7 linked regions of the Macaca mulatta genome follow. The main gene of each other region encodes a partner of the protein of the gene in region 4 in a complex. Links are inferred from orthologs where the notes say so. Each region holds a gene or a part of one and is shown on either strand. Other genes may lie near its edges. The genes, in order: ARHGEF12, ARHGEF28, PKN1, RHOA, ARHGEF25, MYO9B and NET1.

Region 1 (3,500 bases), on a different chromosome or scaffold from region 4:
GCTTCTAATCCCAAATCTCTGTCTGTCCAATGGAATAGAAAAGGTAGACTACAGCTAAACAAAGCTTTTAACTTTTAACATGAAGCATTCAGGCAAGAATCAGAAAAACAACTCCATAAACTACAGAGATCATCTGTTAAGCAAAATACACAGCACATAGCGCAGTGTTATACTGACACACAGAAGGCTCAAAAGCAAAGTTTGTTAAACTGAATCTCTGATGCTGGAACCTGCATAAATCAAACAGTATTAAAGTTTCTTTGCATTTTATTTTATTTTATTTCATTTATTTCTTTCTTTTTTTTTTTTTTTTTCTTTTTTGGCATTTTGGTCTTAGTTGCCCAGGCTGTAGTGCAATGGCACGATCTTGGCTCACTGCAACCTTTGCTTCCTGGGTTCAAGCAATTCTCCCTGCCTCAGCCTCCCAAGTAGCTGGGATTACAGGCACCCACCACCATGCCCGGCTAATTTTTGTATTAGAGACAGGGTTTCGTCATGTTGGTCAGGTTGGCCTCTAACTCCTGACCTCAGGTGATCGGCCTATCTTGACCTCCCAAAGTGCTGGGATTACAGGTTTGAGTCACCGCACCTGGCCAGCATTTTAACAGATAATAGAGCACATTCTCCCTTGAACTTGTCAGAAAAGTGTACCTGGACTCTGCAAACCAGTGACTGAAATGCCATGCTGTTCCTCTTTTAATTTTGAAGGATCTTCTTCATCATTATCTCCTCTGTAAAGGAAAAAAAACAACAACAATCTTTTAGCTTCCTGAGGTACCTAAACATCATTGCAACAAAATGTAATAATTATGCTAGTCTTTTTCAACCCAAAACATAAAATAAGTCCTACTACAATGCAAAGGAACACTCACTCGCCAGGTGTTGACTGGGGTAATGGAATTGGCTTTGTGGATTGCTCCTTCACTGATGCAGCCATCCGACAGATTAGGTCCTGCCAGCTTCAGAAAGTTGGAAAGAAATCCAAAATACAAAAAAGAAACAACAAAAGAAATATCCTTTAAATATACTCACAAAACAAAAAGAAAAACAGAACTAAACAAAAACCAATCAACCAACCAACCAAAAAAAAAAAAAACACTTCACTCTGCCAGAGAATATCTTTATTTTGGCAACACACTATTAAGGTGAGAGTCCAAAACTATACCTTAAGAAAAATCTAACGTTATGGAGACATTACCCATTAAAAAAACTTCAGCTGACGTTTTCCATATTTTTTTCTTTAGGAAATAAACTTCCAGAATAGAATCAAAATAAAAGGCATCAATCTAAAAAAGAACAATTTCATAGTAGAATGTCTCTAAAAGAGTAGAAGAAGTGCTTGGTTTCCATACATTATAAAAACAAAGTTAAGTTTATGGAGTATTATGCTTGGGATAATGAAAATAGTAGCTATAGCAAGGTAGCCATATCTAATACATACACAGTCTTTTCAGAAACTGTCTGTGCCACCAGTTCATAAATCTGAGCTCCATTGTCTGACATGGAGATGACGAATAAAGCTTTGTTATCTGGAAAAAACAAGACAAGATTACTCTAACACTCTGATCTTGGGAGACCATGAGGGATGTTTTTAGAGTCTTGAAATAGTCCTCTCCTTAAACTAGATAAAGGTTACATATATTTACTTTAAAATTCATCAAGATGTACAGTTAAAATTTGTGCAACTTACCATATTAACCTATTTATTGTATTATATTTATTGTACTTCAATAAAACAAAGATTATACAAATTAGCACTAATTCCACAATAATTCACTAGAAACAAAAGGATGTCAAAAATCCAAATTACTGGCTGGGCATGGTGGCTCATGCCTGTAATCCCAGCACTTTAGAAGGCTGAGGCAGGTGGACTTCTTTGAGCTCAGGAGTTCGAGACCAGCCTGGGCAGCATGGCGAAACGCTGCCTCTACAAAAAACAAAAAAATTAGCCAGGCCATGGTGGTACATGCCTGTAGTCCCAGCTACTCAGGAGGCTGAGGTTGAAGAATTGCTTGAGCACGGGATGCAGAGGTTGCAGTGTGCCAAGGATGCACCACTGAACTCCAGCCTGGGTGACAGGGTGAGACCCTCGTCTCAAAAGAAAAAAAAAAAATCCAAATTACCAAATTAAATGCTATTACTCTTTTGCATTTATTTTGAACTGCCCTTTTGCTAAGTTGTTAATAATATTCAGTGAATAGTGGAGAAAAGAGATCACAAATTTATTTTGCCACCATGAAACTAACAAGTTTTAAAAGGGACACCTTTGTTAATAGAGTTAAAATACAACTTGCCAGTCAAATTTGATTTTTAATCAAAATTCCATCCATCTCTTCAGTTTTTATTTTTTTTCTCACCAAATCAAAAAACATACCACCCTAAATGAAAGGCTTTTCACTGGGATCTATCAATGATTTGAACATAAAGAACCAAAGTAATAGCATAAAAATTTTCAAATACAGAAAACCATTCACAGAATCTAGACACCCTAAATAACTTTGGGGTATAAACTCTTAAGTCTCTTTCTAAGCAGTAAATTTCACGTAATTTGCTTAATAATATAAAAATAGCAAGACTCTATGCCACTTGTGTTACTTAAACAGCAATGAGTATCTTATGCAACTTCACAATGAATCTGGAAATTAGTATCCTTCAGTGGACATACTTGCCTGTTGCCACTTGTCGAACCAACACTGTACTCAACTTAATGACAGGGCTAAACGTATGTTTGCTATCAGCTGTAGATGCCAGAATCTTACTATGACACCTTAACACCAGTCTATCATCCTGCTTTTGTAACAATACAAGAATGTCTTCCAGCAGCAATGTGTATAAATCTAGAAATAAAAGTACAGAAAAAAATGGTAAGTACAGAAATTGGGACGTCTTTGGTTAACTTTATAATGATTCAACAGAGGAATTTTATTTCTGTTAAAGCTACAAAATGTTCAAAATTGACTTGTATATTATCTTTTAAAATTTCATTTTCAATAATTCATTTTTATTGTATTTCACTAAAGTGTCAATCTGTGACCAACAGGAAATAAAAAACAACAAGCTGGGTGTGGTGGTGTGCGCCTATAATCCTGGCTACTAGGGAGGCTAAGGCAGGAGGATCACTTAAGCCCAGGAGTTCGAGGCAGCAGTGCACCATGACTGCATCTGTGAATAGCCACTACACGTCAGCCTGGGCAACATAGTAAGACCTTGTTTCTTGGAGGAAAAAAAAAAAAAAAACAGTTCCTCATCACAGACAGTTTAAGAAGTACTGGTCTAAAGAAAGCTTACAAAGCATACTAAGACTTACTAGAATATAAGAATGATGGAAATAGGACTAAATCAGATCTCTGTTACATTCCTAAATGAATATTTAACACGTTACATATAATGAAATAACACAAGCAGATCTACAAATGTACAAATAACACGAGGTAGCACTGCTAACTGCTGAGAGAATGGTTCTCTCCTCTTCCTTTTGTCATAGGAAACTCCTATTTCTT
Region 2 (3,500 bases), on a different chromosome or scaffold from region 4:
TTGTTGCTGTGGCCCACATGACAGTAGCAAAAAGGATTGGTTATGCCTGGGGAGTCGAAGGTCTTACCACCTATTAGTATCTTTTATAGTCCACGGGCTGGGCTTCTGAGTTTCTGGGCTTCTTTTCAGTTACCTCATTGAAACAATATTGCAAGTCAAATGGACTTTTTAGGGCCTCCATCCTTCTCAATCTCTGTGACATTTGACACATGAGTTTCCTATCTCATGCTGTCTTAGAAAAACTCCTGCCTTGACTATGGCATTTTGATATTTTTCTTCTCTGATTGTTCTGTATTTTAAACAGTTCAATTTTTAAACAACCAATTCCTTTTTTTTTTTTTTTTTTTTTTTGAGACAGAGTCTTGCTCTATTGCCCAGGCTGGAGTGCACTCACTGCAACCTGCACCTCCAAGGTTCAAGCAATTCTCGTGCCTCAGCCTCCCAAGCAGCTGGGACTACAGGCGCACACCACCACATCCAGCTAATTTTTGTATTTTTAGTATAGATGGGGTTTCACCACATTGGTCAGGCTGGTCTTGAACTGCTGACCTCAGGTGATTCACCTGCCTCAGCCTCCCAAAGTGCTGGTATTATAGGAGGGAGCCGTGCCCAGCCTAAATCACCAGGTCTTAAGGATGAGCATTCCCGTAATTCCTCTTTTTCCATCCTCTCTTTTCCATACCGTCTCCATGGGAGATTGTATCAACGTCTACAGCTCTTTTGAAAAGATTGGAAGTGGAGAAAGGTTTACCTACTACCGTTGCTTCCTTTAGCTCATGTTTTACGAGAGCCTTACTTTAGCTAGGACGCTGTTTCATCTGCGCACCTTCCTATTTTATGTAGGATCAGAAGCCATCGGTTATTTCCCTTCAAAAGCTTATTGCTAGAGAAGTTGCTAATGAGGAGAGAGGAATGTTTCTGATCAGTGCTTCGTCTGCTGGTCCTGAGATGTATGAAATTCATACCAATTCCAAGGAGGAACGCAATAACTGGATGAGACGGATCCAGCAGGCTGTAGAAAGGTAACATTTCCTTCTGTCCATAATCTATGGAACAGAGTTGTTCAACTGGGGAAAATATTCTAACCATGTCTTCCTGCATGAAAACTTTGCCTCTGCCAGAATGGTCTGCTCCCTGCCCCCTGCACCTGCCTGCGATAGCCCCCCATCTGCAGCTTTCTCCTCCACGCCTCCCTGCATGTAATGCCCGCACCTCCCTCTGCCTGTGTGTGCCCTGCCAGGCGTTGATGCAGCTCGGGCCTCCCCTCCTCCATGAGGACCTCTTCAGTCCTGGTGATCTCTTTCTTGCCTGAAATTCTTTAACACCTGCTCACTAAAGCATTTACTCAATGCTTCTTATATACTGCCTTGTAGCTATTATCTTTTTTATGTACATATGTGTGTGTTTCTTTAATTAGATTGGAAGCTCCTCGAGGGCAGGGGTCAATGTCTTATGTTTCTCTGTGTGCCTAGTGCTGAGAAATCATTCAATAAATGTTTCTGAATTGGTGGATCTAAGTATTCTAAGTCAATTTATTCCTCATTACTTGTGCAAGGACAGTTTTTATAATTGGGAGCACAAGGGTGGAGGAGATCATTCTCAACAGTAATTTAATTAGTTAGATCCTGAAGTTATATACAATTTCTGTACCTCCACTGCACCTCATCTGATCTGGCACCCCACTTCTATTCCCTAAAATTCTTATACTTTATTCCCATTATGGGTGTGTGTGGTGAGTGTGTTTGTGTTCACTGGAATATTTGAGTCATCCCACACCGCTGATTTTGAGAGTCATGTAATGTTATGCAAGATTTTTTGTATTCTCAAGAAAACAAGTCTCTGGCCAGGGGGCATGATGCATTCCCTTTATGCTGAAATTTTCTCCCTTTATGAATAAATCCATTGCCAAGTTCCCAAGTTTTTCCAATGAATCTACAGATACTTGCATTTGGTTTCAGTTGTGTCTCCTGACTATTGTCTTTTAAAGTTGTCCTGAAGAAAAAGGGGGAAGGACAAGTGAATCTGACGAAGACAAGAGGAAAGCTGAAGCCAGAGTGGCCAAAATTCAGCAATGTCAAGGTACAGTGCAGGCACTTCTGGCTCCCTGATCGTGGTGTTCTCCTGGGTGTTGGGAAAGCCTGAGTGTCATGAACAGGAGGTTATAACTACATGATTCATCCTGTGCACCTGAGGCCCATCTGGACCACCCTCCCAAGAAACACTGAAAACCAAAAACTTACACTAGAAATGCTCAAATAAGATGACATTCTCTTCACTTCCACCTTAGTGATTAAAATGGATGTAAAAAATGCACATGAAACAATAGCTGTGGGCAGTGTGGTACAGAGGAATGTTGGAGTTACTTGTCTCATGGTTTAATTTTAGGTCTCAACACTGTCATGTCAATGATTTTGGACAAGGAACCCAACAGATCTGGTCCCCAGTTTCCAAGTTTGTGAAAGAAGGAGATTAGACTAGCTCAGTGATTTTCAACTCTGGTTTGACATTGGAATCAGTTGAGAGGTCTTTAAAAATACGAATACCTGGGCCTCACCCTCCACCAATTGAATCCGAATCTGTGGCCGGTGGGATGTAGACTTTGGGGTTTTCAGCTCTCCCAAGGTGACTTTGAAGCACAGAGGAGACTGAGAATTCCTGGATTCAATGCTGGTTAAGGTCCCTTTGAGCTTTAAGAATTCTGCAATATGTTGAAATCTGAGGACAATGATGCATGCAAAGATGGGCAAAGAAATTGGATGTTTAGAAACAAAAACTTAAACCAGTATGTTTGGTTTTGACCAAAACTGGCTGAAGCCTGTGCCGTTCCAGGCATTTGTATTGTTCACTCATCATGAACGGGACTACCTCAATTTTCATTCCCAAGCTTAATGTTTAGTCTTAATAGAAACCAGCCTGAATAAACAAAGAATAGCTTTGCAAATTTTCTGGAATTAAGGGACTGAGAGAGGAACCTTATTTACAGAAAAGACAATGGAAGCTGAGAAAGTTGTTAAGTCACTTGCTGGAGGCCAGAGTCACTAAGCAGCATGGTCAGGACTGATACCTGCATCTACCCTACTCATCAGCCTGGGCTTTCTCTTGGAGGTCATACTGCTTGCTAATTAGCTACATCTTTTTCGTGGACTTTCACATTAGTGGTAGTATTCATGTTAGTGATAATCTTCTCTGGTAAATACTATTTCATAGAAATGCTCACTAACCAAGACCAACAAATTTGTGCGTATTTGGAGGAGAAGCTGCATATCTATGCTGAACTTGGAGAACTGAGTGGATTTGAGGACGTCCATCTAGAGCCCCACCTCCTTATTAAACCTGACCCAGGCGAGCCTCCCCAGGCAGCCTCATTACTGGCAGCAGCACTGAAAGAAGGTAAGTCGCTTTGAGAAGGGTTTGGGTTGACACGTTCAGAAAATGTTTATTGAACACCTACTATGTGCCTTGCACTGTGGTCTTGGTGCTGAGGATACAGCAGAACAAGA
Region 3 (3,500 bases), on a different chromosome or scaffold from region 4:
CCCAGCCCGGCCTGCTGCAGCTCTTGGGTGCTGGCTAACTCGGGCAGGGAAATGTCCCATTTTATAGAGGTGGAAACTGAGGCCAGGGAGCCAGAGCAGCCCTCAATCACACAGCACTTGGTGGAGGCAGACTTGGATCCCACCCTAGGGCACACGCAGTTTCCAGTGAGATCCGAGACACACAGGGGTGGGGTCTCACCTCGCCAACCAGCATCTCGTAGAGCAGCACACCCAGCCCCCACCAGTCCACAGCCCGCGTGTATGAAGTGTCCGTCAGCACCTCAGGGGCCAGGAACTCCGGGGTCCCACAAAATGTGCTGGTCCGGTCCCCATAGCCCATCCCTGGGGACAGCAAGGCCATGTGAGGTTATGGGGGCCAGAGGAGTCATTCAGCCCAATGTGGGGTTGTCCACACAGCCAGCCCTGTCCCAGGGTCAGGGTGGGGGGTACCCCAAGTAGGGTTAGGGACCCCATTCCTTCCCGCTCCTTTGTCTAATCCCGAGGCCAGTCCCTCACCCTCCTTGCAGAGGCCAAAGTCTGTGATCTTGACGTAGCCCTCGGTGTCCAGAAGCAAATTGTCCAACTTCAGGTCCCTGTTGGGGGTTGGGGGATGGAAAGAGGGATGAGCGGGGGTCTGGGCCCTGTCCCCACAACGGGCAGTGTGCACATGCATGCGCGCACACACACACACCTGTAGACAATCTTGTGTTCATGAAGAAACTGTAGGCCCAGCACCACGCAGGCGGAATAAAAGCTGCAGAGAGAGAGGCTGCTGAGGGGTGGGGCCACCCTGCAAGCAGGGAGGGTCACATAAGCCTGGTTCCCACAACCTCAAAAGCCCCCCCAGTCTCCCCAAAGCTCTGGGAGGCTGGGGGAAGCAAGGCCTGAGGGTGGAGGGGTGAGAAGCAGGCTGCCGGCCTCTCGAGGGGACTGAAATGTCAGACGCTGTGGAGGGAGGCGGGGCCCGGGCCGGGGGGCCAGGCTCACACGGCACGAGGCTCAGAGAACACGTCGCTGTGGATGTGAAGCATCAGGTCCCCACCGGCCGAGTACTCCATCACGAAGCACACGTGCTCCGGTGTCTGGAAACAGCCAAAGAGGTTCACCAGGAAGGGATGTCCCGCATTGGTCACTGCCGCCAAGATCCGCTTCTCACACATCAGGCTGGGGAGGGGTGGGGGACAGAAGTCAGAGACCATGGCCGCCGCTTACCCCCGACTCCCAGACGGCAAGCAAAGCCCATACAGAGGGAAGCAGAACTGAGAAATGTCATCTCAGCACCTGGATACAGCCATGCCTGAAGGCAGCACACTCCTGGACTTTTCTGATGCAGACCAATACATTTCTTTACTTGTTTCTGAGTTGGGTTCCTGATTATCAAAAGAATGCTGGGAAGACCAAGGACAATCTCAGTGCCTGTACCGAATGTTTAGAGGGGTTAGGCACTGTGTAGACAGCACCTGACAACCGTGTGTGTGGAAGGCAGCAGCACTCCGCTTCTCCACATCAAGAGGGGTTCTTTTTTTTTTTTTTTTTTTGAGACAGAGTCAAGCTGGAGTGCAGTGGCGCGATCTTGGCTCACTGCAACCTCTGCCTCCTGGGTTCAAGTGATTCTCCTGCCTCAGCCTCCCAAATAGGTGGGACTACAGAGGCCCACTACCACACCCGGCTGATTTTTGTATTTTTAGTACAGACGGGGTTTCACCATGTTGGCCATACTGGTCTCGATGTCCTGACCTCGGGTGATCCATGCACCTCGGCCTCCCAAAGTGCTGGGATTACAGGCGTAAGCCACAGTGCCTGGCAAAGAGGCTGAGGTTCTGAAGGGAGAAGTGACCTCCCCAGGATCTCCAAGCCCATGCTGCAGATGTGAGATTTGAACCCAGGATCCTGTCCCCAAAGCAGAGGCAGTATGTTTGCACCACGAAGGGCACAGGCTTCAGAACCTGAGTCTCTAGCTTTGAATCCTGGACCTGCTGCTTACTGGCTGTGTGACCTTGGGTAAATTGCTCAACCTCTCTGTGCCATCAGTATTTACCTTATAGGGCAACATGGAGGAACAAACGAATAACTTTTATAAGAGCTATTATTATCTTGGTATTAGGCTAGTAGGTATTAGTGACTTATTTGTTCTGAGACAGGGTCTCACTGTGTTGCCCAGGCTGGAGTGCAGCGGTGTGATCTCAGCTCACTGCAACCTTGACCTACTAGGCTCAGGTGATCCTCCTATCTCAGCCTCATGAGTAGCTGGGGCTACAAGCACGTACCACCACACTCAGCTAATTATTTTGTATGTTTTGTAAAGATGGGGGTGTCGCCATGTTGCCCAGCCTGGTCTTGAAATTCTGAGCCCAAGTGATCCACCTGCCTCAGCCTCCCAGAGTGCTGGGGTTACAGGAGAGAGCCACCGTGCCTGGCATTAGTGACCACTATGAGTCACTCTCCCTGCAGCTCCAAGGAGAGAACTGCTCTGTCATTTCCCAAAAGAGAAGACAGAGGTCCCCAGAGGACCACGGCAGGTCCCCACCTCTCCACCTCGTCTCGGGCCACAATGTCCCCTTTCTTCAGAGCCTTGATGGCGAACAGCTCCCCACTGGGCCGGAATTCGGAGAGCAGCACCTGGAACCACAGTGGGCAGGGGTGGCTTTAGTGGCCAGCCAGGGACCTGGGGGGGGGTCTCCCAATCCGCTGCCCTCCACCTCACCTTCCCAAAGTGACCCCGGCCCAGCACCGCCAGGAACTTGAAATCCTCAAGGGTCAGAGGCGACTTCCTCAGAGGGCTGTGGAGAGAGGCCACTGGTGAGGACAAGGACAGCAGGCAGGGGTGGGTGGTGGGCAGGGGGCCGGGGAGTGGTGTCACCTGCACAGGGCGGGGCCTGGGGTCTCCTGGGTCTCCGAAGGCAGCTTGGGAGTGATGGAGGATTCCTGGATCGGGGAGCTCTGTGGCGGAGAAGAGGCCAGAGTAAGGGGAGTCAGAGAGGCCCTCATAACCACAACAGCCTCTGAGGCCCTGCAAGATCTGCCCCCCACCTCTCTGTCCTCACCTCTCCTCCCATGCGGCCCCTCACTCACTCTCCTCCAGCCACACGCCTGCACCACCACGCCTGGCTAATTTTTGTACTTTTAGTAGAGATGGGGTTTCACCATGTTGGCCAGGCTGGTCTGGAACTCTTGACCTCAGGTGATCCACCCACCACGGCCTCCCAAAGTGCTGGGATTACAGACGTGAGCCACCACGCCCAGCCCGAATTTTCTTTTTTTTTTTTTTTTAGAGACAGAGTCTTGCTCTGTCGCCCAGGATGGAGTGCAGTGGCACAGTCATAGCTTAGTGCAGCCTTCAACTCTACCTTCACCTCCTGAAGGTAGGGGGTGGGACTAAAGGCTTGCACCACCACACCCAGCTAATTTTTTTTTTTGAGACTGAGTTTCATTCTTGTTACCCAGGCTGGAGTACAATGGCACGATCTCCGTTCATGGCAACCTCCGCCTCCTGGGTTCAA
Region 4 (4,190 bases):
CCTCCCAAGGTGTTGGGATTACAGGCGTGAGCCACCAAGGATTTGTGTTAAAATTTTTTTTGCTGGCCAGGCACGGGGGCTCAAGCCTGTAATCCCAGCACTTTGGGAGGCCGAGACGGGTGGATCACGAGGTCAGGGGATCGAGGCCATCCTGGCTGGCTAACACGGTGAAACCCCGTTTCTACTAAGAAATACAAAAAACTAGCCAGGCGAGGTGGCGGGCGTCTGTAGTCCCAGCTACTCGGGAGGCTGAGGCAGGAGAATGGCGTAAACCCGGGAAGTGGAGCTTGCAGTGAGCTGAGATCAGGCCACTGCACCCCAGCCTGGGCGACAGAGCGAGACTCCGTCTAAAAAAAAAAATTTTTTTTTGCTTTATTTTTTTCTTCTTTTTTTGTATTAGAGATGGGGTGTTGCTATGTTGCCTAGACTGATCTTGTACTCCTGGGCTCAAGTGGTCCTCCTGTCTCAGCCTCCCAAAGTGCTAGGATTACAGGTGTGAGTCAAGCAATGCTCGTGCCTCAGCCTCCCCAGTAGCTCGATTACAGGTGCCAACCACCACCTGCCCACCACCCCCGGCTAATTTTTGTATTTTGTATTTTAGTAGAGACAAGAATTATACCATGTCGGCCAGGCTGGTCTCAAATTCCTGACCTCAGGCAATCCACCCACCTCAGCTTCCTGCTGGAATTATGGGCGTGAGCTACCCTGGCCAAGATTTTTAACTTCTGAAGCTTATAGCTGCTCTAAATCACAAGAATTCAGTTCCATAATTTTAAAAAGTTGCTTGTTTTGACTTTAGGTATATGGTTGAACATTCTAACTTTTGTTATGTATACATTTTTATTTTACTGTATTCTTGTGGCCATTGTATCCTACTCTGTATGTTGCAGATGAGTTGTGATTCTCTGGACTTAGAGATCACATGCTCTATTACCAGGATATTTTTTTGTAACTCCGTTTGTTGTTTGGGATATAGGCTTTGAGAGGTTAAGGAAGTAAATTTAGGATGGATATTGATGTTGTAGCACTTTGTTAATCCTTTTCTCTACAAGATAATTTTATTATGTGATACAGCAATTTTGTTCAGAGATGTTTTGTGTGTGTGTGGAAAATTTCTTTTCTGGATGAAATCTCTTGTTTAACTTCTCCAGTTATTCATAATGAAGCTGTTTATCTTTTAAAGATATTAAGTTCAGAAAAGGAAGGCAAGCTGCATACAGTGGCTCACGCCTTTATTCCAGCACTTTGGGAGGCCAAGGTGGGTGGATCACCTGAGGTCAGGAGTTCAAAACCAGTCTGACCAACATGGTGAAACCCCATCTCTACTAAAACTACAAAAATTAGCCAGGTGTGTTAGTGGGTTACTGTAATCCCAGCTACTCAGGAGGCTGAAGCAGGAGAATTGCTCGAACTTGGGAGGTGGAGGTTGCAGTGCTCCAAGATCACAGCACTCCAGCCTGGGCAACTCTGTCTCAAACACAAACACAAAGAAAAGGAAGGCAGTAGAGTATCTTATTTAAGAGCATGGATTCTGGAGAGAAGCTGACAGTTAAATACTAGCTCTGACACTTGATGGCTTGAGACCCTTGACAGTAATATGATTCCTTTTTGATTCAGTTTTTTTCTTCTGTAGAAAGGGAATGGTAAGCGAGCACTATGAGATTTCAGTGAGAGAGAAGCACTTACCTCAAGTGCCAGACAGCAGCCTTTCAGCTAACTTATTATATTTATTTATTTTTTGAGATGAAGTTTTGCTCTTGTTGCACAGGCTGGAGTGCAATGGCACGATCCCAGCTTACTGCAATCTCCACCTCTCAGGTTCAAGCGATTCTCCTGCCTCAGCCTCCTGAGTAGTTGGGATTACACGCATGTGCCACCATGCCCGGCTAATTTTTTGTCTTTTTATTTTTATTTTTATTTTTTTTCATTTATTTTTATTTTTTTTGAGATGGAGTCTCGCTCTGTGCAGTGGCCGGATCTCAGCTCACTGCAAGCTCCGCCTCCCGGGTCCACGCCATTCTCCTGCCTCGGCCTCCGGAGTAGCTGGGACTACAGGCGCCCGCCACCTCACCCGGCTAGTTTTTTTTTGTATTTTTCAGTAGAGACGGGGTTTCACCGTGTTAGCCAGGATGGTCTCGATCTCCTGGCCTCGTGATCCGCCCGTCTCGGCCTCCCAAAGTGCTGGGATTACAGGCTTGAGCCACTGCGCCCAGCAATTTTTTGTATTTTTAGCACAGACTGGTTTTCACGATGTTAGCCAGGATGGTTTCGATCTCCTGACCTCAGGTGATCTGCCTGCCTCCACCTCCCAAAGTGCTGGAATTACAGGTGTGAGCCACCGCGCCTGGCCTACTTTTTTTATTACTTTTTTTTTGGAGACCGAGTCTGGCTCTGTCGCCCAGGCCGGAGTACAGTGGCATGATCTCGGCGCCCTGCAACCTCCGCCTCCCAGGTTCATGCGATTCTCCTGTCTTAGCCTCCCAGGTAAACTGGGACTACAGGTGCATGCTGCCACGCCCGGCTAATTTTTGTTTTGTATTTTAGCAGAGACGGGGTTTTACCGTGTTGCCCAGGCTGGTCTCCATCTCCTGTGTTCAGGCAGTCCGCCTACCTTGGCCTCCCATAGTTGCTAGTATTACAGCCGTGAGCCACCGTGCCTGGCCTTTTTTTTTTTTGAGACGGAGGCTTGCTCTGTTGTCCAAGCTGGAGTGTAGTGGCACAATCTTGGCTCACTGCAACCTCTGCCTACCCAGTGCAAGCGATTCTCCTGCCTCAGCCTCCCAAGTAGCTGGGACTACAGGCGCGCGCCACCATGCCCAGCTAAATTTTTTGTGTGTGTTTTTGTGTTTGTTTTTTCACTAGAGACGGAGTTTCACTATGTTGGCCAGGCTGGTCTCGAACTCATGACCTCGTGATCCACTTGCCTCGGCTTCCCAAAGTACTGGGATTATGGGTGTGAGCCACAGCGCCCGGCCTTTTTTTTTTTTTTTTTTGGATAAGGTATTGTTTTGTCTTCCAGGCTGGAGTGCAGTGGCATAATCTTAGCTCATGGTGGCCTCCAGCTTTTGGTGTCAGGGTATCCTTCCACCTCAGCCTCCCGAGTAGCTGGGACTACAGGTGTGTGTGCAACTGCGCCCAGCTAATATTTTTACCTTTCGTAGAGATGGAATCTCAATGTCTTGCCCAGGTTGGTCTCAGACTCCTGGGCTCAAACAATCCTCCCACCTCAGACTCCCAAAGTGCTGGAAGTATGGGCGTGAGCCACTGAGTCCAGCTATCTTCAACTTTCACTATTCAGGTTACAGTTTGTAGTACCTTTTTTTGGCAGGGCAGGGGAAGGGTAGCGGGAGTAGCGCCCTAAGATCTCTTGGAATAAAACAGGGCTTACTACTTGGTTCCTGGTGCTTAAGAACATGTTTCCTAGACTCGGCTCTTTCCAGACTTGGAATCCAGTTCCCCAAGTTGGAATCACCTGAGGTTTGTTTTAATCACCTTCATGGAGGTATAATTTGCGTACAATAAAATGCATATACTTTATTTTATTTTATTATTATTTTTTTTTGAGACGGAGTCTCGCTCTGTCACCCAGGCTGGAGTGCAGTGGCCGGATCTCAGCTCACTGCAAGCTCCGCCTCCCGGGTTCACGCCATTCTCCGGCCTCAGCCTCCCGAGTAGCTGGGACTACAGGCGCCCGCCACCTCACCCGGCTAGTTTTTTGTATTTCTTAGTAGAGACGGGGTTTCACCGTGTTATCCAGGATGGTCTCGATCTCCTGACCTCGTGATCCACCCGTCTCGGCCTCCCAAAGTGCTGGGATTACAGGCTTGAGCCACCGCGCCCGGCCAAAATGCATATACTTTAAATGATAGTTTGATATATTTTTTTTTAGACACAGGGTCTTGTTCTGTCACCCAGCTGAAGTACAGTGTCGGAATCATAGCTTACTGCATCCTCAACCTCCTAGGCCCAAGAATTCTCCACTTCAGCCTCTTGAGTAGCTAGGGTTGCAGGTATGCACCACCACGCCTGGCTACATTTTTAGTTTTTAATTATTTTTTTGTAGAGAGAGGGGTCTCACTAAGTTGCTCAGGCTGGTCTTGAACTCCTGGTCTTAAGTGATCCTCTCGTCTCAGCCCCACAAAGCCCTGGGATTGTAGGCACGAGCCACCACAAACCACCAGTTTGATAAA
Region 5 (4,253 bases), on a different chromosome or scaffold from region 4:
CTGCTCACTGCCCACTATGCTTCACCTTCCTCCTAGGCTGAACACCCAAACCCAGGAGTTCGGTATCCTGGCACCACACGGGTGGCCTACCTCCCGGACTGCCCTGAGGGCAACAAGGTGCTGACCCTGTTCCGCAAGGCGTTTGACCAGCGTCTCACCTTCACTATCGGCACGTCCATGACCACAGGGAGACCGAATGTCATCACCTGGAATGACATCCACCACAAGACCAGCTGCACAGGGGGACCCCAGCTGTGCGACCCCTCTTCACTTCCTTTCCCTTGGCTCCTCCCCTTTCCTCCATTTCCACTGAGGGACCCACCAACCCCTTGCTCTGGGAGCCTCCTAACTGGAGAGGACCACTTCCAAACTGTTCAGCCGTCTCAGTTTCTCCTACATTCAACCTGGTCCTGGTGTGCCCAGCTTAGCCTACAAAAATAAGCAGAATTGGGCTAAGTTATCTTGGGTTTGGAGGTGTCCTCCCTTAGGGGAGGTGGGGAGGTATCTGAGTCACCTAGAATAAGGGTGAGCATGGGGATAATAGCAAGTTCCAACAGCTAACAACCCTCACCCTCATTTCTCTTTGCTCCCAGGTTTGGGTACCCAGACCCTACCTACCTGACCCGGGTGCAAGAGGAGCTGAGAGCGAAGGGTATCACAGATGACTGAAGGACATCGCCTTTGCCAAGGCCCCTGCTGTCCACCTCTACTAGGACCCAGCAGAAGCCTCTTTCTCCTCTCTGCCCCCCGCCCCCCACAACACACCTGTAGGGGACCTGTCTGACTGGGAAGGGCGTTCTGAGAGGGAGGGGGCAATCCCTTCCCCCATCCCCCACCGGCCAAGTGTTTCAATGCAGTGTGAGCCACTCCCTTCTGGCAGAGGCCGACCTCCAAGGCTCTGTTCTCCACTCCCGGTGTACATATACTCCCCGTTTCCCTGCCCCTCCAATGCCCTTGGCTTTTTCTGGTGTGCTGTGCTCCATGACCAAGCAGAGAAAGGACCTAGGGTGGGGAAGGGAGGGTCTCTTGATTCCCAACTGCCCCCACATACTGCTTCACCGCTGAACTTAGGGTGCTGGAGAGGAGGAATTGGGCTGATATGAGCTCCCCACCACCCCCCATGGAGCCGGCTGTGTGTGTTCATCAGATACAGTTCTCCCTTAACCTTGTCCTTTCTTTCCTGTGTCCCAGTCTCCGTCAGTCTGTCTTTCTCCGCTCTTCTCTGACCCCTGTGAGGAACCTCCTTACCCTGTTCTGGAATCGCTGCCAGACTGTAGCTTTTAATTTAATAAAAATAAAGTAAAATATGCAACTCTTCATGCCACACCCGTTCTTTTCCAGGGACTGGGTGGGGGTGGGGTGGGGAGAGGGACCTGCTGGAAAGGGGAGAGGGGGTGATAGGGAGATCCCTGTGTGCCCTCCCAGTCCCTCTGCCTCCTGAGGACCTGGGGAACGGGATGCACCAGCGGGCTTTGTAGTAATACTGCGAAACCCTGGGCCACACTTCGATGTTGGAATTAGTATTAAGAGGGTGTTTTTTTGTTGTTCAACCATCGTTGTAGAGAAAAGAACAACCCTACCCCCTTTGCGAAGTTTGGCTGGGGTGGGAGTGGGGGCGGAGCCGGGCAGGGGGCGGATTCCACAGCAGCAACTCCCTGGACGAGAGCAGGCCTCAAAGCCCCCCAGCTTCCGTGCCCCCTCGACCCTGAAACGTGGAGCTGAGTGGGGGTTCAGTATGAAGCCCCCGGACCGCCCCGCCCCTGGCCGCACTGACCGGATACTGGGGGTCATGGGGAGCATGCTGCGCGCATGCGCCCTCCCCGGGCAGGAGGGGGTAAGAATGGGGGCCCGTGGTGGGGTCGGGGGTCTTTCGGGGCCTTCAGGAGGGCTGCACCCACAACTCAATTTATCCGAAAACGAGTTCTGCGGGGCAGTCGCAGGAATACATGAGTTCCATTACGAGGGCCTTAGCCCCGTTCTGGGCGACCTTTTTATAATAATGTAGATTTTGACAGGTGGGAGAAGGGGAAAGGGGAGGTCAGGGCTGCCTAGGAAGGGGGGTTCCTTACAGTGGTTCTGTCCCCGCAGCCCCCGAGGAGAAGCCCCCTAGGGTCGGGGGATACCGAGCCAGAGTCTGAACGTACGGAGGGAGATCACAGAAGGGACCGCGAAGATGAGGTCCTCGCCTGGGCTCTGCAGCCCGGTAAGAAGCTGGGGGTGGGGTGGGGCAGTTTGCTATCCTGCGCCAAGTGGCGAATTCAAAAATATTCTGCTTTTATTAGCATAAAGTTCGCATCTAATTTGCATGAGACCCATTTAATCGCAGAGACCTCCACTCTTCTCGCCCTCGAGTCCAATGTGTGTCCCCCATCCCAGCCGGTACCGAGCCCCCGCAGGCAGAGTGTCCCCGCGCCCCACCCCTGGCCCCTCGCCAGCCCGGGCTCCAGGACTTCGCCTTAATTGGCGATTAGTCTTAGCTGGAGTCCCGGGGCCTGGAGGAAAGAAGGGTTCTGAGAGAGGGCGGCATCTGGGTTGTGTTCACCCACAAAAGGCTCCCCATACACGCACCCCGTACCGGGGGTCCTCTGTCCACGCGGCCGGGGACAACCCCAAACCCAGAACATCTTCGCACAGGCCAAGGCCCCATCCACCGAGTGCTCCTTCACCTCAGAGGCCAAGGGAAGACCTGGGCAGACCCTGCCGACAGGCTGAACCCCGACCCCAGCGCTCCAAAGAGCCCGCGATGCGGGAGGGAGGGGGACCCCGGGGCGGGGGAGCCCAGGCTGGGGAGGGAAAAAAGCGCTGGGGACGTGGAGTGGGAACGTGGTGGTGCCTGGGGGAGGGGCGATCCGGGCGGGAACCCGGCGCAGGCAGGAGGGGGAACGCGATGGAGAGGGCGGAGCTGGGCCGCAGAGGCCCCGCCCCGTGGCGGCCCCGCGGCCAGGCCTGTTATTCAGCTCGCCGCTCCGCTGGGACCCGCACAGCGCCAGTAGCTCGGGGGTCGGCTCTCGCCTCCTCCCCGGCCCGGGCCTAGAGCCACCCCCAACCAGAGGCCGGAGACAGCTGGAGCCGCTGCCGCATCCCGGCCCAGCCTCCCCTACCATCCCTCCCACTTCCACTGGACATCTGGACCCTGGGCCCCCGCACCGACAGGGTTCCGGAAACCCTCCCCGCCCAGCCCGGCGGCCGGGCCCTGCGCCTCCCTCTCTCTAGAGACCCCCAGCCCGCCTCAAGACTAGACTTCCGCCTACCCCTGGACACCTCCACCCGGTCCCCTCCCTCCCCCACTCCCACAGCCTGGACCGGGGTAGGAGGGAGGGGGGGTGTGCGCCCAGCGCCGTCCCCGCCCCGCCCCCCGTGAGTCCCCCTGCATGGCCGGCCCGGGTGGGGGACGCGGGGGGGCCCGGGCGCCATGCGGGGGGGGCACAAAGGGGGTCGCTGTGCCTGTCCCCGTGTGATCCGAAAAGTGCTGGCAAAATGCGGCTGCTGCTTCGCCCGGGGGGGACGTGGTGAGTGCCAGGTCGAAAGGGCCCAGTGTTGAGTGGGGGGCGGGCTGGGGGTTCAGGGCATCTGTTTGCCCTGGCCCTTGGGATTTAGGGTTGGAGACTGTATGCGTTTTCCAGCAAAGTGGTTTCTTAAGTGATCCCTAAGGTCCCTTCTGCCTCCAAATTTATGTTAGTTCAAGTTATGGAAATTGGGGAAGGGGCAGGGAACTCATCTCTTTCCCTTAGTCAAATGGGTTTGAGAAAAAACCATCCACAATCCCCTTAGGCCTAGAACCGATTATCTTTCCTCAAACCTTTTGCTAAGAATCTACTTCTGAAGAGGGACAGGGGAATGGAGGAATGAGAATGAGGTGGTTCTACAAGGGGCTTTATAAGGAATCACAGCTCTTCTGTCCCTGAGCCCAGGCCATAGATAACCCTGATGGACCCTCCTCACTGGCCTCCTCTATTGGATCTACGCATGTGTTGGGGAGGTGGGCTGCAGGTCTTTTCTTTTTATAGTGATTACTGCAATTGGTGGAGGAGGGGACTGGGAGTGGCAGATGGACCCAGCTCATCCTCCCCCCTTCCCAGAGAATGGTCTGTACCCATTGAAAGGGGGAGGGTTGTGGGAGAGCAGATGGCCACCCCCAGCTTCCAGTGTCTGCCCAGATGGCTGCCCCCACCCCCATATCTATGCTATGCTCAGGATATGGGGAACCTCCACATGTAACTGGGGGTTCCAGGTCTGGAGAGCCAGGTGTTTAC
Region 6 (3,500 bases), on a different chromosome or scaffold from region 4:
GTGCTCCTGCCCAAGGATGCCCAGCCCTGCAGGGAGGTCATCTCGACCCTCCTGGAGAAGATGAAGGTAGACAAGAGGAACTACCAGATCGGGAAGACCAAGGTCAGTGCTCCTGCCCCTCGGGGCACTGCAAACCCACACCCTGCCTTCCACCGCACACCGTGTCTTCCCAGGCCCCCAGGGCCACTCTCTGAAACATACAGGGCTCTGTCTAGGAAATGCATTTCTAGGGACCCAGCAGAATACTGCACCTAAGGGATAGGGGCCGCCCTGGCTGAGCCCCACCTGCTGCTCTTCAGCGGGGCTCAGAGACTCCCTCTGCATCACCTGTTTATTGCTGCGTCACAGGTAGGAAAGGGACGATCATGCTAACTGGCAGGATTTAGGAGCTGGTCCATCCCCTTTACAGTATCAGGTGGGAGGCGGCCTGCAATTGTCGTCCCTTTCAGAGATCGTCTCCCATCTCTGGGCATGTGTTTGCCTCTTGCTGTGGGGGCATTATTCAGCCACCCTTGTTTAACAAGTGCCAAGGTCAGTCCCCCAAAGGCCTCACCCGGTGTAAAAAAATTCCCTTCCAGCCAAGCGAGGTAGCACGCGCCCAGAGTCCCAGCTACTTGAAAGCCTGCGGTGGGAGGATCCCTTGAGCCCAGGAGTGTCAGACTAGCCTGGGAAACATAGCGGGACCTCGTCTTTATACAGTATTTAAAAATTAGCCAAGCATGATGGCATGCACCTGTGGTCCCAACTGCTTGGCAGGCTGTGGCAGGAGTTTGAGACTGCAGTGAGCTGTGATTGCACCACTGCACTTCAGCCTGGGTGACCAAGCGAGACCTCATTTCTTTTTCTTTCTTGTTTTTATTTTTGAGACAGAGTCTCACTCTGTCACCCAGACTGGTGGTGCGATCTCAGCTCACTGCAACCTCCACCTCCCAGGTTCAAGTGATTCTCCTGCCTCAGCCTCCGTGCAGCTGGGATTACAGGTGCCCGCCACCACGTCTGACTAATTTTTATATTTTCAGTAGAGACAGGGTTTCGTTACAGGCACACACCTGTAGTCCCAGCGACTCAGGAGGCTGAGGCAGGAGAATCGCTTGAACCCGGGAGGCAGAGGTTGTAGTGAGCTGAGATCGCACCACTGCACTCTAGCCTGTGAGACTCCATCTCAAAAAAAAAAACAGAGCCACACCTAGGTGCAATAGCTCATGCCTGTAATCCCAGCATTTTTGGGAGGCCAGGGTGGGCAGATCAATTGAGGTTGGGAGCTCGAGACCAGCCTGGCCAACATGGTGAAACCCTGTCTCTACTAAAAATACAAAAATTAGCCAGGCCTGGTGATGGGCACCTGTAGTCTCAGCTACTCAGGAGGCTGAGGCAGGAGAATCACCTGAACCCAGTAGGCAGAGGTTGCAGTGAGCCGAGAGGGCGCCACTGCACTCCAGCCTGGGCGACAGAGTGAGACTCCATCTCAAAAAAATAATAAATAAATAAATAAATAAATAAATAAATAAAGCCCTGGTTGGTCAGCACAGCAGCCTGGGTCTCACTCTGGAGTGGGCTATGCAGACCTCCCAGGCACAGAGGTGGTGTCAGGGGCAGCGCGGCTGACCCCACCTGACCCCGTGCCCACCAGGTCTTCCTGAAGGAGACAGAGCGGCAAGCCCTACAGGAGACGCTACACCGGGAGGTGGTGCGGAAAATCCTGCTGCTGCAGAGCTGGTTTCGGATGGTGCTGGAGCGTCGGCACTTCCTGCAGATGAAGCGGGCCGCCGTCACCATCCAGGCCTGCTGGCGGTCCTACCGGGTCCGGAGGGCTCTGGAGAGGACGCAGGCCGCGGTGTACCTCCAGGCCGCATGGAGGGGCTACTGGCAGCGGAAGCTCTACCGGCGCCGGAAACAGAGCATCATCCGCCTGCAGAGCCTCTGCCGGGGGCACCTGCAGCGCAAGAGGTGAGCAGAGCCAGGCCACGCTCCCCAGAATATTCCAGAAGCCAAAAGGGTCACTCACCAAATTGCTGCCCATGATATACCATCTGGCCTGTGGCACTAAGGGGATGTCATTCTGGACACAGGGAAGGGTTGGTGGGAAACTAGATGCCTGGACACACATGGGCTACAGAGAGGGGCTCTGAGGCTGGCAGGCAGCACTCAGGGACAAAGCTCTGCTTTGCCATTGGCTGCACCCATTCTCTGCCCAGGGACTCCCCTGTACCTGGATCGGTCAGGGAGCACCTGGATTCAGGGTTGGAGGGAGCGCCTGGACCAGCCCAACACTCAACATGGAGCTGGGGCATCCACCAGGCACAGAGAACCCCCCAGCAAGATATCAGCAACTCCCGTCCCGGCACCCACAGCTACAAGCCCAGCCCCTCCCTGACCTAGGCACCCTGTGCACCTCTCCCCTGCCACACAGACCCAGCTCTGCCACAGGTCACATCCCAGCTCCCAGAGCAGGCCCTACCCACATGTGCAAATAAGCCTCCTAGGCCAGGTGCAATGGCTCATGCCTGTAATCCCAACACTTTGGGAGGCTTAGGTGGGAGGATCACTTGAACCCAGGAGTATGAGACCAGCCTGGCCAACATAGCAAGATGCCATCTCTACACAAAATTAAAAAGTTAGCTAGGTGTGGTGATGCACACCTGTAGCCCCAGCTATTCAGGAAGCTGAGGCAGGAGGATCACCTGGGTCTGGGATGTGGTGGCTGCAGTGAGCTATGATCACACCACTGCACTCCAGCCTGAGTGACAGAGTCAGACACTGTCTCTAAAAACCAAAAAGGTTGGGCGTATTGGCTCACACCTGTAAGGCCAGCACTTTGGAAGGCCAAGGCAGGCAGATCACATGAGTTTGAGACCAGCCTGGCCAACATGGCAAAACCTCATCTCTACTAAAAATACAAAAATTCGCCGGGCGTGGTGGTGTATGTCTATAATCTCAGTTACTGGGGAGGCCGAGGCACAAGAATCACTTGAACCTGGGAGGCAGAGGTCGCAGCGAGCCAAGATAGTGCCACTGCATTCCAGCCTGGATGACAGAGTGAGACTTTGTCTCAAAAATAAAATAAAATAAATAAAAATAAAAACAAAACAAAAAGCCTCCTAGAAAAAGACTCAAGGGAAAGCCCACAGTGGACCCCAAACGAGTTTGAGGCTTCTTAACAGAACCCACCCACCACAGCCCCAACAAGGGTCCTCTCCCCTAACAAGGCAGCCAGGCAGACACAGGGCAGGAGTATCTGTGACACTGAGGGGGCACCACCCTCAGCCTCCTTTCCTGATCGAGGAGATTCCTGCTTTCCAGAAACATCTCTCAGGGCCACTAGGCACAGGCGAAGCCCCGTCTGCAGCCCACAGGCTGGGGGTCCCATCGGAACTCAGTGGGAGGTGGAAGGAAGGTTTGTTTCTGAACCAGCTGTCTGCTTTTTCCTCACTCCAGCTTCAGCCAGATGATCTTGGAGAAGCAGAAGGCAGAGGAGAAGGAGAGGGAAGCCCTGGAAGCCG
Region 7 (2,900 bases), on a different chromosome or scaffold from region 4:
CTTTGTTTCCAAGTATAGATCCCTCATGTTTTCCTCACACGATCTCTCTGTGACACATTTCTCCCCTCTGACAGGCCTATCATGACCCCATGTTAAAGTTGTCCATCATGTCAGAAGAGGAACTCACGCATATATTTGGTGATCTGGACTCTTACATACCTCTGCATGAAGGTTAGATGTGCAACTTAATTGTCATTAAATCTAAAGAGCAATAACGCACGTAATTTTTCAGTCTAAACTTCTAATGTAATGCTGACGTATTTTTTAAATAAACCTGTTAATGGTGTTTATGCTTTTTTATCACTTCAGATTTGTTGACAAGAATAGGAGAAGCAACCAAGCCCGATGGAACAGTGGAGCAGATTGGTCACATTCTCGTGAACTGGGTATGTAGTGAGTTATTGACCCCAGATACAGTTTCTTACAGATGTGCCATGTTGCAGTTTCTGATAAATATGAGATTGATTTGATCCCATAACTCTGTTCTACAAACACATAAGGCATTAAAACTAAACAAGTTTACAGTGACATAAGAAATTACAGTCTGTCTAAAAAAAAAAAAAACAAAAAACTTCATTAATGCTATAGGTTGATTTGTGTTGCAAATATGTTCCTGCTTGGATAGAATTGCCACATTATGTGTGATTATCCGTTGCATTCTTTCATGTATGTTTCAGTGCGTGCCAGATGCTGGGCACTGTTCGAGGAGGAGTCGCTGGGAGTCAATGATGAAAGGCAGTCTCTGCCTTTATAGCCTAGTGAAGGGATAGCCAAGCACATAAACAGTCTCAGGGCTGGTGGCAAATGGAGGACACTCAAGTGTCCTGAGAGCACAGACTGCCGGCGTCTGAGGTTGGAGGGGAGTAGAAGTCATGAGTCTTCACTTGGATTTAGCCAAATTACAAAAATTTGAAGAGCATTTTGATGATTGCTAAAATAGTATTCAACTTCCATTATTATCTGCCAGAAAATGTCCACAGCTTGTTAAAACTCTCAAGAATAGCTGTACATTTTGTGTTTCATGTTTGCAGGCTTGTTAATGCGCTCAGTTGTAACAGGAACACATCATACCTTTTCTTTTGTTACTCTTCAGTTGCCGCGCTTGAATGCCTACAGAGGCTACTGTAGTAACCAGCTGGCAGCCAAAGCTCTTCTTGATCAAAAGAAACAGGATCCAAGAGTCCAAGACTTCCTCCAGCGATGTCTTGAGTCTCCCTTCAGTCGAAAACTAGATCTTTGGAGTTTCCTAGATATCCCTCGAAGTCGCCTAGTCAAATACCCTTTACTGTTGAAAGAAATTCTTAAACACACTCCAAAAGAGCACCCTGATGTTCAGCTTCTGGAGGATGCTGTAAGTAGTCCCTTAAGTGATTGTTTTCCTTTTTAAGTTTATGCATTAGGCTGCTGTAGAACGTTGTCTTCTGAAGATGCTGCTTCACATCAGCACAGTGAATTGTTTTGTTGTTTTAAGTACCCAGTGCATTAGTACACTGTGCACTAAGCAATAAGGAGATGTGAGTGCTGGACTTCGCACATTTTATATCTTAAGGGACAGGATTCTCATCTGATCTCACCTTTTCACCTTTGAACAAATCACTCAATTTGGCTAGGACTGTTTCTTGATCTATAAAATGAACAGACTGACAGAATTAACTGATTTCCGGAGTCCCTTCAAGCTTTAAAGTTCTTCCATTCCATATGACATTTTTGCCCTGCGGGAAGCAGGATGAGTTAATAAACTGAAGCTGCTCTGTCAATTTTATTTATCATTTTCAGATATCGATAATACAGGGAGTCCTCTCTGATATCAACTTGAAGAAAGGTGAATCCGAGTGCCAATATTACATTGACAAGCTGGAGTACCTGGATGAAAAGCAGAGGGACCCCAGAATCGAAGCGAGCAAAGTGCTGCTGTGCCACGGGGAGCTGCGGAGCAAGAGTGGACATGTAGGTGACTTCACCGCCGCGGCGGAGCGGCCTTCCCTCTGCCCCTTTAACTTTCACACGTTCATTATGAAGCAAGCTGGTAAGGGTAAAGTCATGACATGGTAAAAGAAGGTTGCCGATTTTAATTTTATATTACCAGCTTGATAAAGCCAACATTTGGTTTCTTTGACTACAGAATAAATAAGATGCCTTAAATGTCTCCGTGGAGAATCAGTAATACTTTATTTTTTAGTTTTGAAGCATAAATCAACTTGTTTGGCCAGGGGTTTCTTTCTAAATACGATATTAGTTCCAAAATGTTTAATAAAAAAAATCCTTCAAAAAACTTTTAAGAGTTTATCTTATGCTTATGGAAGTGGTTTTTAGCATTACATAACAAATTTCTGAAGCAGATTGAATGAATGCAAATTTATTTTTAAAATGCTAATTATAAAAGTACCTGCTAGAACTAAGTACAGTCATGGAATGGTATTTTTGTTTCATCATGCATTTTCAAAAACCCAATTTGTAAGTTGGAGTTTTGTTTAAAAAATTTGAAATCTGACATCTCTGATTTTTCCCTCATGAGGGAAAAATTTATAGTTATAAATTTGTGTGGGACAAAATAGAACCATTAGTATTTTACCAGCTTGCATTTGTAATCCCTACTTTGTGTTAGAAAACTGTGGTATACAACACTAGTGTTTCAAGTCAATGCTACTACTAATAGGTCTTTGTGATGCAGAGCATTCACTTAGCTGCTGCTTAATCTGATATTACATACCAGTAAGAAATGTTTTTTTTATTCTGAGATTGGAAAAACTTTCCAAATAGAACATGCATAGCCTTGAAATCACCATCTTTATGATTACTAGATTTGTCACTTAGTAAGAGAGATCTTCAAAAAATAAATCTGATGAAATTAATAATATCAAGTTATTTTAGCAATATATTTCAGTCACTTAAAAACACAA

What was found.
Region 1: the proteins of RHOA (region 4) and ARHGEF12 are in contact, whole or in part, in a crystal structure (PDB 1X86), measured with the Homo sapiens proteins. The link is inferred for Macaca mulatta from reciprocal best matches to the Homo sapiens genes RHOA and ARHGEF12. Residues at the interface, in NP_001300870.1 of Homo sapiens: Arg5, Lys7, Thr19, Lys27, Val33, Tyr34, Pro36, Thr37, Val38, Phe39, Glu40, Asn41, Val43, Asp45, Glu54, Trp58, Asp59, Ala61, Gly62, Gln63, Tyr66, Asp67, Arg68, Leu69, Leu72, Ser73, Asp76, Glu97; in NP_056128.1 of Homo sapiens: Pro766, Asn768, Gln770, Glu790, Val791, Glu794, Thr798, Ala801, Cys888, Gln891, Pro892, Lys899, Arg922, Arg923, Leu924, Gln925, Lys927, Asp928, Pro931, Thr932, Met934, Gln935, Thr938, Lys939, Leu942, Leu943, Asn946, Arg968, Leu971, Asn972.
Region 2: the proteins of RHOA (region 4) and ARHGEF28 are in contact, whole or in part, in a crystal structure (PDB 6BC0), measured with the Homo sapiens proteins. The link is inferred for Macaca mulatta from reciprocal best matches to the Homo sapiens genes RHOA and ARHGEF28. Residues at the interface, in NP_001300870.1 of Homo sapiens: Arg5, Val38, Phe39, Glu40, Asn41, Tyr42, Val43, Glu54, Ala56, Trp58, Arg68, Leu69, Leu72; in NP_001171164.1 of Homo sapiens: Lys1140, Ile1142, Arg1144, Glu1145, Val1146, Ala1147, Asn1148, Glu1149, Phe1154, Ile1156, Ala1158, Ser1159, Ser1160, Pro1163, Glu1164, Met1165.
Region 3: the proteins of RHOA (region 4) and PKN1 are in contact, whole or in part, in a crystal structure (PDB 1CXZ), measured with the Homo sapiens proteins. The link is inferred for Macaca mulatta from reciprocal best matches to the Homo sapiens genes RHOA and PKN1. Residues at the interface, in NP_001300870.1 of Homo sapiens: Met1, Ala2, Phe25, Ser26, Lys27, Asp28, Gln29, Val43, Asp45, Ile46, Glu47, Gln52, Glu54, Thr163, Lys164, Arg168, Glu169; in NP_002732.3 of Homo sapiens: Glu40, Arg43, Arg44, Ile46, Arg47, Leu50, Lys51, Lys53, Glu54, Glu57, Asn58, Arg60, Arg61, Leu77, Arg78, Ser81, Leu84, Asp85, His88.
Region 5: the proteins of RHOA (region 4) and ARHGEF25 are in contact, whole or in part, in a crystal structure (PDB 2RGN), measured with the Homo sapiens proteins. The link is inferred for Macaca mulatta from reciprocal best matches to the Homo sapiens genes RHOA and ARHGEF25. Residues at the interface, in NP_001300870.1 of Homo sapiens: Arg5, Tyr34, Pro36, Thr37, Val38, Glu40, Asn41, Val43, Asp45, Glu54, Trp58, Asp59, Ala61, Gly62, Gln63, Asp65, Tyr66, Asp67, Arg68, Leu69, Leu72, Pro75, Asp76; in NP_891992.3 of Homo sapiens: Tyr163, Val164, Glu167, Thr171, Met174, Tyr175, Asp178, Cys253, Lys256, Pro257, Glu260, Ser264, Arg275, Arg281, Leu282, Asn285, Asp286, Ile289, Lys290, Val292, Gln293, Arg294, Met296, Lys297, Gln299, Leu300, Leu301, Cys327, Pro330, Lys331.
Region 6: the proteins of RHOA (region 4) and MYO9B are in contact, whole or in part, in a crystal structure (PDB 5HPY), measured with the Homo sapiens proteins. The link is inferred for Macaca mulatta from reciprocal best matches to the Homo sapiens genes RHOA and MYO9B. Residues at the interface, in NP_001300870.1 of Homo sapiens: Asp13, Gly14, Ala15, Glu32, Tyr34, Val35, Pro36, Val38, Phe39, Gln63, Glu64, Asp65, Tyr66, Arg68, Leu69, Leu72, Asp90, Glu93, Asn94, Glu97; in NP_004136.2 of Homo sapiens: Glu1731, Gly1732, Arg1735, Lys1736, Ser1737, Gly1738, Ala1739, Ala1740, Arg1744, Lys1772, Gln1773, Arg1776, Arg1840, Met1841, Ala1845, Ile1848, Ile1849, Pro1852, Cys1853, Arg1856, Pro1863, Leu1864, Ser1866, Met1867, Val1870, Thr1874.
Region 7: the proteins of RHOA (region 4) and NET1 are in contact, whole or in part, in a crystal structure (PDB 4XH9), measured with the Homo sapiens proteins. The link is inferred for Macaca mulatta from reciprocal best matches to the Homo sapiens genes RHOA and NET1. Residues at the interface, in NP_001300870.1 of Homo sapiens: Arg5, Lys7, Tyr34, Pro36, Thr37, Val38, Phe39, Glu40, Asn41, Tyr42, Val43, Asp45, Glu54, Trp58, Ala61, Gly62, Gln63, Tyr66, Asp67, Arg68, Leu69, Arg70, Leu72, Ser73, Pro75, Asp76, Pro96, Thr100, Pro101, Glu102; in NP_001040625.1 of Homo sapiens: Glu177, Ala178, Glu181, Gln270, Leu271, Lys274, Lys281, Gln291, Leu294, Glu295, Arg300, Lys301, Leu302, Asp303, Trp305, Ser306, Asp309, Arg312, Ser313, Arg314, Val316, Lys317, Leu320, Leu321, Glu324, Gln347, Leu350, Ser351, Ile353, Asn354.

The regions. Positions count from the first base shown.
Region 1 is NC_133419.1:121,160,609-121,164,108, reverse strand, and holds part of ARHGEF12 (rho guanine nucleotide exchange factor 12), read right to left. Parts: intron 2,838-3,500; coding exon 2,670-2,837; intron 1,530-2,669; coding exon 1,442-1,529; intron 960-1,441; coding exon 873-959; intron 732-872; coding exon 652-731; intron 23-651; coding exon 1-22. UniProt on the Homo sapiens protein: May play a role in the regulation of RhoA GTPase by guanine nucleotide-binding alpha-12 (GNA12) and alpha-13 (GNA13). Acts as guanine nucleotide exchange factor (GEF) for RhoA GTPase and may act as GTPase-activating protein (GAP) for GNA12 and GNA13.
Region 2 is NC_133411.1:80,273,916-80,277,415, forward strand, and holds part of ARHGEF28 (rho guanine nucleotide exchange factor 28), read left to right. Parts: intron 1-843; coding exon 844-1,022; intron 1,023-1,987; coding exon 1,988-2,079; intron 2,080-3,207; coding exon 3,208-3,390; intron 3,391-3,500. UniProt on the Homo sapiens protein: Functions as a RHOA-specific guanine nucleotide exchange factor regulating signaling pathways downstream of integrins and growth factor receptors. Functions in axonal branching, synapse formation and dendritic morphogenesis.
Region 3 is NC_133424.1:15,077,248-15,080,747, reverse strand, and holds part of PKN1 (serine/threonine-protein kinase N1), read right to left. Parts: intron 2,984-3,500; coding exon of another isoform or gene 2,941-2,983; coding exon 2,861-2,940; intron 2,781-2,860; coding exon 2,705-2,780; intron 2,620-2,704; coding exon 2,528-2,619; intron 1,165-2,527; coding exon 988-1,164; intron 755-987; coding exon 692-754; intron 594-691; coding exon 517-593; intron 343-516; coding exon 200-342; intron 1-199. UniProt on the Homo sapiens protein: PKC-related serine/threonine-protein kinase involved in various processes such as regulation of the intermediate filaments of the actin cytoskeleton, cell migration, tumor cell invasion and transcription regulation.
Region 4 is NC_133407.1:112,848,108-112,852,297, reverse strand, and holds the start of RHOA (transforming protein RhoA), read left to right. Parts: upstream 1-1,390; 5' UTR 1,391-2,007; intron 2,008-4,190. UniProt on the Homo sapiens protein: Small GTPase which cycles between an active GTP-bound and an inactive GDP-bound state.
Region 5 is NC_133416.1:64,778,498-64,782,750, forward strand, and holds the start of ARHGEF25 (rho guanine nucleotide exchange factor 25), read left to right. Parts: upstream 1-1,453; 5' UTR 1,454-1,735; coding exon 1,736-1,834; intron 1,835-2,088; coding exon 2,089-2,203; intron 2,204-2,951; exon of another isoform or gene 2,952-3,412; coding exon of another isoform or gene 3,413-3,509; intron 3,510-3,562; exon of another isoform or gene 3,563-3,927; coding exon of another isoform or gene 3,928-3,979; intron 3,980-4,253. Other genes in the region: putative E3 ubiquitin-protein ligase DTX3, read left to right, coding at 37-441. UniProt on the Homo sapiens protein: May play a role in actin cytoskeleton reorganization in different tissues since its activation induces formation of actin stress fibers. It works as a guanine nucleotide exchange factor for Rho family of small GTPases.
Region 6 is NC_133424.1:17,671,812-17,675,311, forward strand, and holds part of MYO9B (unconventional myosin-IXb), read left to right. Parts: coding exon 1-102; intron 103-1,630; coding exon 1,631-1,947; intron 1,948-3,435; coding exon 3,436-3,500. UniProt on the Homo sapiens protein: Myosins are actin-based motor molecules with ATPase activity. Unconventional myosins serve in intracellular movements. Binds actin with high affinity both in the absence and presence of ATP and its mechanochemical activity is inhibited by calcium ions.
Region 7 is NC_133414.1:7,018,856-7,021,755, forward strand, and holds part of NET1 (neuroepithelial cell-transforming gene 1 protein), read left to right. Parts: intron 1-74; coding exon 75-171; intron 172-309; coding exon 310-386; intron 387-1,093; coding exon 1,094-1,351; intron 1,352-1,776; coding exon 1,777-1,947; intron 1,948-2,900. UniProt on the Homo sapiens protein: Acts as a guanine nucleotide exchange factor (GEF) for RhoA GTPase. May be involved in activation of the SAPK/JNK pathway Stimulates genotoxic stress-induced RHOB activity in breast cancer cells leading to their cell death.